2 linked regions of the Caenorhabditis elegans genome follow. The protein of the gene in region 1 interacts with the protein of each later gene in a pairwise test. Each region holds a gene or a part of one and is shown in the gene's direction. Other genes may lie near its edges.

The links.
Region 2: the proteins of F41C6.6 (region 1) and gcl-1 interact in a two-hybrid assay, tested with the Caenorhabditis elegans proteins (one large-scale study listed by BioGRID).

Annotation. Positions count from the first base shown.
Region 1 is NC_003284.9:6,880,232-6,883,978, reverse strand, and holds F41C6.6 (CNNM transmembrane domain-containing protein), read left to right. Parts: upstream 1-2,083; 5' UTR 2,084-2,407; coding exon 2,408-2,498; intron 2,499-2,546; coding exon 2,547-2,692; 3' UTR 2,693-3,041; downstream 3,042-3,747. Other genes in the region: F41C6.7 (ZT_dimer domain-containing protein), read left to right, coding at 1-69, 519-627, 669-800, 844-924, 970-1,074, 1,403-1,486.
Region 2 is NC_003282.8:13,407,514-13,414,776, reverse strand, and holds gcl-1 (BTB domain-containing protein), read left to right. Parts: upstream 1-1,881; 5' UTR 1,882-1,887; coding exon 1,888-2,085; intron 2,086-3,141; coding exon 3,142-3,228; intron 3,229-3,272; coding exon 3,273-3,719; intron 3,720-4,866; coding exon 4,867-5,135; intron 5,136-5,182; coding exon 5,183-5,255; intron 5,256-5,300; coding exon 5,301-5,446; intron 5,447-5,493; coding exon 5,494-5,764; 3' UTR 5,765-6,452; downstream 6,453-7,263. Other genes in the region: Transcription factor aptf-2, read left to right, coding at 1-397, 446-789, 846-1,101; Y62E10A.19 (Neuropeptide-Like Protein), read left to right, coding at 6,615-6,782.

The DNA of each region.
Region 1 (3,747 bases):
AACTCCTCATATTATCGTCGTTATCGTCAACATTGTTGTGAAGCTGTTTTTGTTTTTTGTATGCCTTATGTAAGTTTTTCCAACTTTTTTATTAATTGAGTATGGGACCCGGTCTGGACATGGTTTTTGCGTCAAATGAAAAAAGTGACTATGATTTATTTATTTAAAAAACACCTAAATAAAAATATGCTGAAAGAAGATTTGAAAAAGTTACTAAAAACTGGATAAAACTGAAGAATGTCTGAAACTCTTCCGCGACGGAAGATTCAAAAATTCAGTACTGTTTAAAAATCGTATTTATGGTTAAAAAGCCGCAATTTTAGTTTTTGCGCTCAAAATGATCTCAAATGACCGAGTTTCGAACGAGACTTCTCAAAAAAAAAAAATGGTATGGGTTTTAAAATTCTAAGAAAAGTTCACCACAAAGACATAGTAAAAAATTCAGATCTTAGCCCCTTTGTGCCGCCAAGAAAATGTTCAGTAACGACAAACGCAGTATGTTAAAATTAAAATTTCAGTAAACGAGAGAACAACCAAATTCGGGTTTTGATGAGGGACCAGCTTACAGATGTATTGACAAACTCGATTGCTCTTGTTGCTGTGTGCATTGCCCATTCGTATTGGAAGGTATGTTTTTTGTCTGTGAAGAATGGCAAATGTTTCTTTAGGAATGCGATTTCATCGGTGCTTTTATAATTTTCTTACTAATCATAAGAAACTGGGCGCCAATTGTTTCCGAATCTTGGTTCAAACTTCAAGGCATTAAGGGAGATGATGAAATAAATGATAAAATTTCACAGGTTTTTACATTCACAAGTTTTTTTTACATCAAAAAATTTGAAGATAATTTCGAGTAACCAGTCCATGTTTACTGTGATAGTTGGATATATAACTTATCATGTTGGTAACAAAGCAATTGTAGAGGTAAACTATAATAACTGGAAAATGAGTGAATACATCAAATTGTAGATATATTGTGAAGTGGAAAACCAACAAAATCGAGAAGAAATTCAATCAAAATTCAGTGCGGACGAGGTATTGGCGGTTTATCTACTACCAGTGGAGGAGAGCAAGGTAGGAATCTTATTCAACAGAAAAAGTTTCAATGTAAACTACTACTACCCTTTTGTTAAAAATCAAAATTTGAGAAAACATTTGGAAGCTTTATCTTTGATAATTTATGTTATTGTTAAAAAATTAAATTTTGATTTGAAAATGTGCAACTGGCTTTATCTTTCTCTGTGTATACCTTTTTAACATTAAAGATGAGTAAAATAACTTTTCTTATGAATGAGCATGGTCAAAAATCTACTACTTATAACACAGGGTTTCTTACACAGAATTAGTAAGTATATTTACTTTCATATGTTGTTGTTGTTGACTTCAAAAAATTTAATTTCAGAACGTGCATTTGCTTTCTGTAAAACAACCTGACGTCGATTGCTCTAAAAATGCAGAATCCGTAGAACTTTTACAAAAAGTTTGATCTATTGTTCATGTTGTTTAATACTGAATCGCACTGCTTTATCTGTATTTTGAATCTACCGTATTTCCTCTATTAGTTAGGCACCTCTATTAGTTTTGCACCTCAATTAGTTTTGCATCCAAAATCACTAATCGAAAATTAGTTTTGCACCCTCTATTAGTTTTGCACCTCTAATAGTTTTGCACCACTTCATTTGTTCCCTAATTTTAAGAATTCAAAATTTGCATTAAAAATCGTTCTAATAATTAGAAGAACTCTTACAGACTTGGTATAAGAGGTCAAAACTGGCAAAATATGAGTACAACTCGTACAATTTTTGCGTATCAGTCGTAAAATTCGTCCATTTTGGTTCATAAGTTGTTATTGAAATTGATGATATTATGCCACAACTTAATGGAAAACGTGAGAAAAAACCTGTTCGAAAATTAGTTTTGCACCCTCTATTAGTTTTGCACCTTCATTAGTTTTGCATCAAATTAGGTGTCCGAAAATTAGTTTTGCATGCCTTACTAATAGAGGAAATACGGTAATCATTATTTTGACAGGTTTATATTTATATGTATTGATAAGTCTTTTGATAAGTCTTTTTTAACAAACCCTTAAAACTAAAGTAATGCTTTTCAATTCAAATATTGCAAAACAAAATCGTAGAATTTGATTTTCTATTTCCCATTACTGCCCTTTACTTCCCTTGGCACTTATTGGCAAAAATTTCATACAAATAATAATAGACCCATCGAAAAAAGGCAATCAATTCAACAATAAACCAGAAGCCACACCTATCAATGACAATTATCTGGTGTCCAACCCTCTTACCTGAAATGTCTTCCGACCATTCGTCCCATTTCGATTTCCGAGCCAAGTGAGCTCTACATAAAGTGAGCTCTCTCAATCTTTTGGGATATGAGGCGAAGGCTCGCTATGGCGATCCTTGGTTTCACTATCCCATTTCTAATGAACTGTGCACTCATCGGCTCCACGGCTCTCATGATGATCCACAACGAGGTAAAAAGTCAGTAGTTGATAACCTCATTTTAATTCCCAGACTGTTAATTTTCAGAGCCCTCTGTTCATAGTGGCATCAATCACGATGTCGCTGTGCGTGACACTGGTAGTCATCAAAGCAAGCTTCCATCTGATAACAGAGCTCGCGGGACCACTGGAAACCGGGCCGGCCCGACGTCAAACCACGCGAGATGCAAATAGAGATTCAGAAGAAATGATCCCAATGACAAGCCGACATTCAAGCATAACATCGACAATTCCAAGTCGGCCAATGTCTCCAATTCCACCATCAACTCCGCCACCACGATCTCCTGCACCTTGTACGCATTTGGCCCAATCTTAGCCGCAATGTGAATACTTATCTGATAATTGACACGTTTTGTCTTTTTGTAAAATCTATTTAACTTTCTTTCTAGTCTTCTTCATACTTTTTTCGAGCGGTATGACTTGCATATTTGACTCAACTTTTACCATTGCCCGTCCCACGAGGGAACATTTTAAAAAACGTAATTTTCAACATTCAACACGAATTCGAACTTTGGAACACAGTCGCCTACTTTCTTAATAAAATTTTGGATCAGATCACTCTTTGCCAAGATTCTAAAAAAAATTTTAATATACAGCACAACTGTAAATAACGCATCAAATTTATGTTTGTGTATTAAAGACGTAAAAGAATTTTGTGTTTTTTGCTTTAATTGATTCAAAATGTCTCCAAACAACCGAATTTTACAGGAAGACACTCTGAAGATGTAAGTAAATCTTTGAAAAAAAAGTTAAAATAAATTTTGAAATGTTAACAAATTTTCCTTGTTGTGGCGGGTTAGTTAAAATTTAATTATTGCCTTGATTTGCATATTTGGAGGGTATTTTGGCTTTATATCTTCAAATTAGTTTTTTTTAGAAAATAAACATAGACCCATCAGAGAAAAACCCCAATTTCAAGTTTTCCTTATCAGATAATAAGTGAATAAAAACTAAATTCTGGTCTCTAGGACAAAGACAAGTTTAGTAGAATCGGTAGATTTCAGTTGGCTTCGACCCAATTTTTTCCGAAATTTAAAACCACCATATGAAACAATTGTGAACATGTTTGAGATGTCTAGTTTTTTTGCGTAAATGTGCATTTTGTAGGCTTAAATTTGCTTATGGTTTTGATCTGCGCGCGTACTGGTGTGTTTTTTTTAAATTTTAAACACTTCGAATTAATATTTTTTTTGTAAATACAAATGTTCTGTTTGTGAATAAAAATTACG
Region 2 (7,263 bases), on another chromosome or scaffold:
CCCTTCAAGCTCTGCAGAGTGCTCTACCCAACCCGCCGTTGCCGAGCAAGAAGACAACTCCCTTTTGGCACAACTTTTAAAAGGAAAAATCACGTCTGATGATGCAAAGTTGCAACCACCACGTGGACCTTTCGAATACGCACCGATGCTCTCCGAGGAGGCACAATTTGCGATTAAGCTGGCGGGTCTTCTCAACCCGAATCCGGTCACTGAACAGGACCCGAGCACTTTCAAGCCGCCTCCGAAAATGAGCAATAATGTTCGAAAAAACATTAATTTGACTCCGGTTATTGAGAATGCAGTTCCGAGTGGATTTGAACTGGAAAGTCCGAAAGATCAGGCATTTGATGTGGTTCATGGAAGACTATCTATGGGACAGAATCAGACATGTTATTTTGTACGTTTACGGTAGAAGTTCAATATTAAAATTTAAATAATCTTCCAGGTCACAGTCGAGGAAATGAGACGAAGATTGCAAAGTCCGGAGAAGCTCAATAGTTCGAGTATCGCATGCAATCTTAAAAGGCCAAAACTGAAGAATGGAGGTGAACTGATGCGCGCTCAACTGAGAGATCATGGAATCAAGGTTCAACTGAATGCGAAACAGAAGGCTTTTCCCAACAAAGTGATCGCTTTGGTCGAAGCGGAAGCTGTTCATTTGGGACTTGATCTTGGAACAGCTGTACGAGATGATTATCCAGTTCAAGATATAATTCAAGAAGTTGCTCATGAAGCATTGGCTGACGAGGATGCAGATCTGGATGCGTTGATGAATGATAAGGATTTCACGTAAGTTGACTATATTCCAATTTCTCAATTCTGACGCCAAATTCCAAATATTTCAGAGAATGTATGTCAGCACTTGAATCAGTTTTCACATCAGTCGTCCCTCCGATCACTGGAATCGAGCCAAAACCGTCGAACAACATGCGACTGAACAATGGAATGGAGACCTTTTCATCAGCTTCACATGGACTTGGAATCGTGTCTCAACGGGTTTGGCTCCCCCAATTGACTGCAATCGGAAATGGAGTCGCATCTGAACTTCGACGCTTGACAGAGACGCCAACTGAATCAAAGCCAGAGGAATTGAAAGCATAAATTCATATTTTCATATTCTGATATTTAAAACAATCTGATTACCAAGGTCTCACTTATTTTCCATGATCTCTATGATGTTTTCACTTAATTTCAATGAAACTTTTTATTTATTTAAATCCTCATACGATGTTCCTTAGTACTAGGAAATGCATCATTAAAAATGATTTTCATATTGCTAGTACGTCTTATAGAGTAGCTTCGAATTCACTTTATACATTTGAATAATATTGAATTTTATAGGTTTTACACATCATTTTGATCATTTTGATGTGTAAAACTTTGAAAAATTCATTATTATTCAAATGTATAAAATGAATTCGAAGCTTCTCTATAAGACGTACTAGCAACATGAAAATAATTTTTAATGATACATATTCCAAAACTGAAAATTAGGAATTTCTTTACCCCCGTTCCTCACGTGAAAACATTTATTGACCCTGTGGCAATGTGCGCTTGCGCGTCTGCGTCTCCAGAAGGCGTAATCTCTCGTGTTCAAACACTTTCTCAACTGACCATTTGTTTGCGTCGTTGCCGACGGCTTAACCATATGTTGCCTTTTCCCCCTTACATTTATACAAGACAGTAATATTAATAAATCGGTTTGATCTACAAAAATGCGGGAATTTTTTGGTCAAAAAATGTGACGTCAGCACGTTCTTAACCATTCGAAATCAGTTGACAGCTCTGCATCTAAATTCCCGCATTTTTTGTAGATCTAAGTAAATCCAGCTGAAATGAGCCATCTGACACCACGTGATTTACTGAAACATTATTTTCCAGTCAAAAATGGGATTAGCTCAGTCCCACTCGCGGACGCCCTCTCGTGATCCACTTCCAAATGACCATCAAGTAATGGATGTGTATGAAGAGTCTGGTCCAAGACGGGGAAGAAAACGAAAAGCGGCAAAAGGAAGTGAGATTGAGATGAAGAAAGTGGCAAAACTGAACACATGTGCATATGTATATCAGAAATTGTTTTTACAGGTTAGAATAAATTGAATTTTTAGTGCAAAATGGGTAACTAAAATATGGAGTTGACTAAATTAATGCAATAAAATTCCAAAATGAATGTTTTGTTTCAACAAATTTGAGATTTCTTCGTCACGAATCTGGTAAATTGTGTTTTTTTTTAATTTTGTAACATGGAAAAAGAAAAAACTGATTATTTAGTTCGAAAACCTACATTTTAGTATTTTTTCACTAATTATGCCAACTATATACCGTATTTCCTCTATTAGTCTTGCATGCAAGAGAAAATTGCCAAAATTGTTACTATTGTGCTGAAATTTTATTCTCAGAATTTTTAAAATTACAGGCAAAACAGGGCCACTCGTAATTTTGAACGTCTACCAAAAATTGATTTTTACTATGATTTTGGAATTTTTAAAATTCCGGAAATATCGTAAATTTTTCCAAAAGTCCAAATTTTTTGAAAATTTGACATTTTATCAAAGATTTTTTCGGCGTTTTTCAATTGAGACATATCTTTTTTTCGCATTTTGAGTATGCAATTGATGAAAAATTTCAGAATTATCACAAATTTCAGTACAAAACAGTTTAATACTGAGAAATTAATTTTTTAAAAACTTAATTTTCACAGGTATGTAGTTTCAGAAATTTTCACTCAATCAGAGGTGCGCGACAATCGAGTTTTCGGCAATTTCGGAAATTGCCAAACATTTTGAAACCCAGCAATTGTCGGAATTGCCGGAAATTTCCAAAACCGGCAATTGCCGAAACTGCCTATTGCCGAAAATTTTGAAAACCGGCAATTATCGGAATTGCCGGAAATTTCCAAAACCGGCAATTGGCGAAATTGCCGGAAATTTTGAAGACCGGCACTTGCCGAAAATTTCCAAAACCGGCAATTGCCGTAAATTTTGAAAACCGGCAAATGTCAGAATTGCCGGAAATTTCCGATTGCCGCCAAAAAACTATGACCATAATTATTTTGAAATTCCTTTGTATAATTAGTAGGGAAAGAAAACAATTCAATTGAAAGAAATTTGGAAATTTTCTCAAATTTCGTTATTTTTTCAGGGAGAAAATTCGGACATTGTCCTGGCTGCGTGTGGCAGGGAATGGAGGGTTCACAAGCTTTATCTAAAGCAGACCAAATTTTTTGAAGTGAGTTTTTTGAATTGTTTCAAATTAATTTCGAATGCTTTTAGTCAATGTTCGATGGTTTATGGACAGAGTCGAATAGTGGAAGAGTTCAGATGGAAATAACAGATCCGAATATTGACGCAGATGGTCTAAACTCGGTGCTCGGAAGTCTATATCACAATGAGATTGAGATAGATTTGGATAAAATCGAGGGAACTGTGGCAGCGGCTTCATATATTGTACTTGATAGTGTCACAGATAGATGTTCAGAAATGATGATTGAAGCATTAAGCACAAAGAATGCAGTTCGATTCTACGATGTTTCAACTAAATATGGTCTGGAGAAGGTTCGAGAGAAATCGATGGAAGTATTGTTACACCAATTTTGGAAAATAATGACTGATAGGGAGAAGCTCAATGAAGTTGATCGACAGCTTTTTGTGACGCTTCTCAATTCACCCAATCTTTTGATAATTGAAGGCGAATTTGATCTTTATAAAGTTGTTAAATCTGTAAGTCATTTCTCATTCCCGAAAATTTAAAACCGAATTTTAATAATGAGGCTTCTCAAAAATTCGAAAAAAAGTCCAATTTTGCTAAAATCAGCTGGTTCAACAATGAAAAGTTGGCGAAATTTGGCTCGAATTTTTTGGGGGCCAGTATGAGTATTTTAAAACAGTGAAAATTTTTACACTTTTTCACTTTTAATTATCAATAGCAGAAACTAATTCTTCCTAGAACTACAGTAATCCTACACTGCTCCCCAGGGGAGCGCGGCAATTTCCAGAATTGCCGGAAATTTTGAAAACCGGCAATTGCTGGAATTGCCGGAAATTTTGAAAAGCGGCAAATGCCGGAATTTCCTAAACCTTCCGAAACCGGCAACTGCCGCAACTGACGGCAACTGGCAACTGAAACTGGCAATTGCCGGAATTGCCGATTGCCCGAAATTTTGAAAGGCAGCAAATGCCTAAATTGCCGGAAATTTTGAAAACCGGCAAATTCCGAAATTGTCGATTGCCAGAAATTATGAAAACCGGCAATTGCCGGAATCGCCTAAAATTTCCAAAACCAGCAATTGCCGGAATTTCCGATTGTCGGAAACTTTAACAACCGGCAATTGTCCGACTTGCCGATTGCCGGAAATTTTGAAAACCGGCAATTGTCCGGAATGGCCGGGAATTTTTGAACACCGGCAATTGCCGGAATTCCCGATTGCCGAAAGTTTTGAAAACAGGCAATTGCCGGAATCGCCGGAAATTTCTAAAACCGGCAATTATCGGAATTGCCGATTGCCGAAAATGTTGAAAACAGGCAATTGCCGGAATCGCCGGAAATTTCCAAAACCGGCAATTATCGGAATTGCCGATTGCCCGAAATTTCCAAAACCGGCAATTGCCGGAATTGTCGATTGCCGGAAATGTTGAAAACAGGCAATTGCCGGAATTGCCGATTGACAAGAATTTTGAAAACCGGCAATCGCCGCAAATTTTCACATCTACAACACTACTACGAGACCCCGACAACTCATTATTCAAACTACAGTACCCCTACAGTAGCCCTACACTAAACCCAACCCTCCACTATTTCGAAAGACAAATTCTAATTTTTTCTGACTATAAATAAAAATTGTATTTTATATATAGAAAATGATTACAGTGGATCTACATGCGAGAAGTGCCCGATTGCTGCAAGGATGACAGTCCAGAGACTTTCACTCAAAATGCTTCCAAATTTTTCAAAGAATCGAAAACTTCAATGTTCATAAAATATGCGGATATCTTTGCCAGTCTACGAATAGAACAGTTTTTGACATGTTCTGAAACTATAAAAACAGTCAAATCAGATGCATTAATTCCGTTGTCAATTGTTGATGAAATGACGTCAGCACTTTGGTCATCACTTTTAGAAAATGAAGAAAGTCCAAAGTAAGTTCGAAAGTCGACAGAATAGTGATAAACTTTGAGCTGTTCAGAACACTTGAAATGGATGATGATGAGTTTTTTAAACGATGTATTAGGCTTGGTAGATCATTGGATTCATTCCCGGTTAGTTACTTATTCGAAATCTAAAAAATCTTTTTAAAATTATAGAAATGCTGGCGATGGATAGGATTCAATTTCGGAGTTGATCTACTTCTTCATGTAAACGACTATTCTGTATGTATAAAACGAAATTGTCTCAACCAAAAAGCTCCGTATTCGGTGAACTTAAAGTCTAAACATGTTCTACATTACCGGTAAGTTGTTGGTTGCCACGATTTTCAAGATAAATAGTCAAATTCAGACTGGTCATTTGCGACTCAAATGGTCAAATCCTCTATGACAGTGGAAAAACCACGTGGGAAATGAAGCCAGATGAAGCTAGAACAATCTATCGAATGAGTGAAGACTTGGCAACTCAGATATCAGTTCACTTTCAGTATCTGATTCATCAACCGATTTGTAGTACAGGTCATTATGTGAACAAGTATCTAGATGATCAGAATTCTACTGATGATGAAGACGATGAGGAAGAAGAAGATGATGATGGAGATGACGAAGAAGACAGCTCGTAGTTTTCAATTATCGGAGGACTGACGGTTCGGACGATTTCAAACTTATAGACCCAAAATGTGCTCAAATGAAAGAATTTCGTAATGAAACTTCTCAAAAATTTTTCAAAGATTTTTTTATGGCGGTTAAAAAATTAAAAAAATATTACACTGAATTTAGCTAAAATCCCGAATTTTGGCCACTTTTCCGTATCATATCTGTCCGAAGTTTACTTTTTCGGAATTATCATCCTTTATTGCATATTTTGGTACTTTATCTTATTTAATTTCGTTTATTAAAGTACATTTAAAGGCGATAGGTAACCAAAAATCATCGAAATTGGCTAACTATCGGCTTAAATGTACTACCAAAAAATGCAATAAAGGATGATAATTCCAAAAAAGTCAACTTCGGACAGATGTAACACAGAAAAGTAGCCGAAATTCGAGATTTTAGTTAAAATCAGTGTAATTTTTTCGAAATTTTGAACCACCATAAAAATTTTTTGAAACATTTTTGAGAAGTTTCATTACGAAATTTGTCCATTTCAGCCCATTTTGGGTGTATACGTTCAAAACCGTCCGAACCGTTAGTCCTCCTATAAATGTTTTTTCTTGTGCATTATGTATTAGAACCCAACTTGTACATCTATGAACATGTAATATATATCTATGCAACATAATAATAATAAAAACAATTGCATCTATATCACTGACTAAGTATTTTGAGTGTGTCTCAGCCAGTTCTCAAGGGCAGAACCTGATATATATATATTGATGGGTGACTTCACGCTGTGAACTTTCGATTATTTGCCGATATATTTTGCCCACCTTCACACAACCCTTCACGCAGGACTTCTTTAATGAAGCGAACATGATCCGAATAGCCTTTGCCGTTCTTATTTTAGTTTCGGTGGTTACCACACAACCACTGCTATTTCCGCACGGATGGTTCGAAAGCAAGAATTTACGACCGCGAGATGCAATTATGCTGAACATGATGGCACAGTCGAATCTTGAATATGGAGGTGTAACCTTAGAGGTAATTGGAATAGTGTGCGTTTAGTCATTTTTTACAAGAATGTAGGTTAAAATGGCCCAAAAGACCAAATTTAACAATAAGACTTTTTTGAAAATTCCCAAAAATGTTTCAAAATTTCGATTTAAATTAATTCAGTCTGAACCTAGAATTTTGCTTTTTTCAATCACAGATAACGAATTAATTATATTTTTGACGGGGGTATTTGAATATTAGGTACTTGTGCATTACATGCCCTCATTTTCAAATTAAATTAAATTGTCATTAATTTCTCCAATTAAAATAAACGTGATATACATTTTTCCTCTTTAGGCTTAGAAAATGTTATTTTCTAAGCCTAAAAATACAAATTGTGGTTCACGTTTTTATTTTTCATGGCTTAAAAAATTACTATTAAGATGAGGGCATGTAATACACAAGTACCGAATATTACAGGAACATTTAAAATCTGAGAATGCGTATTGTGCAACATATTTGACGCGCA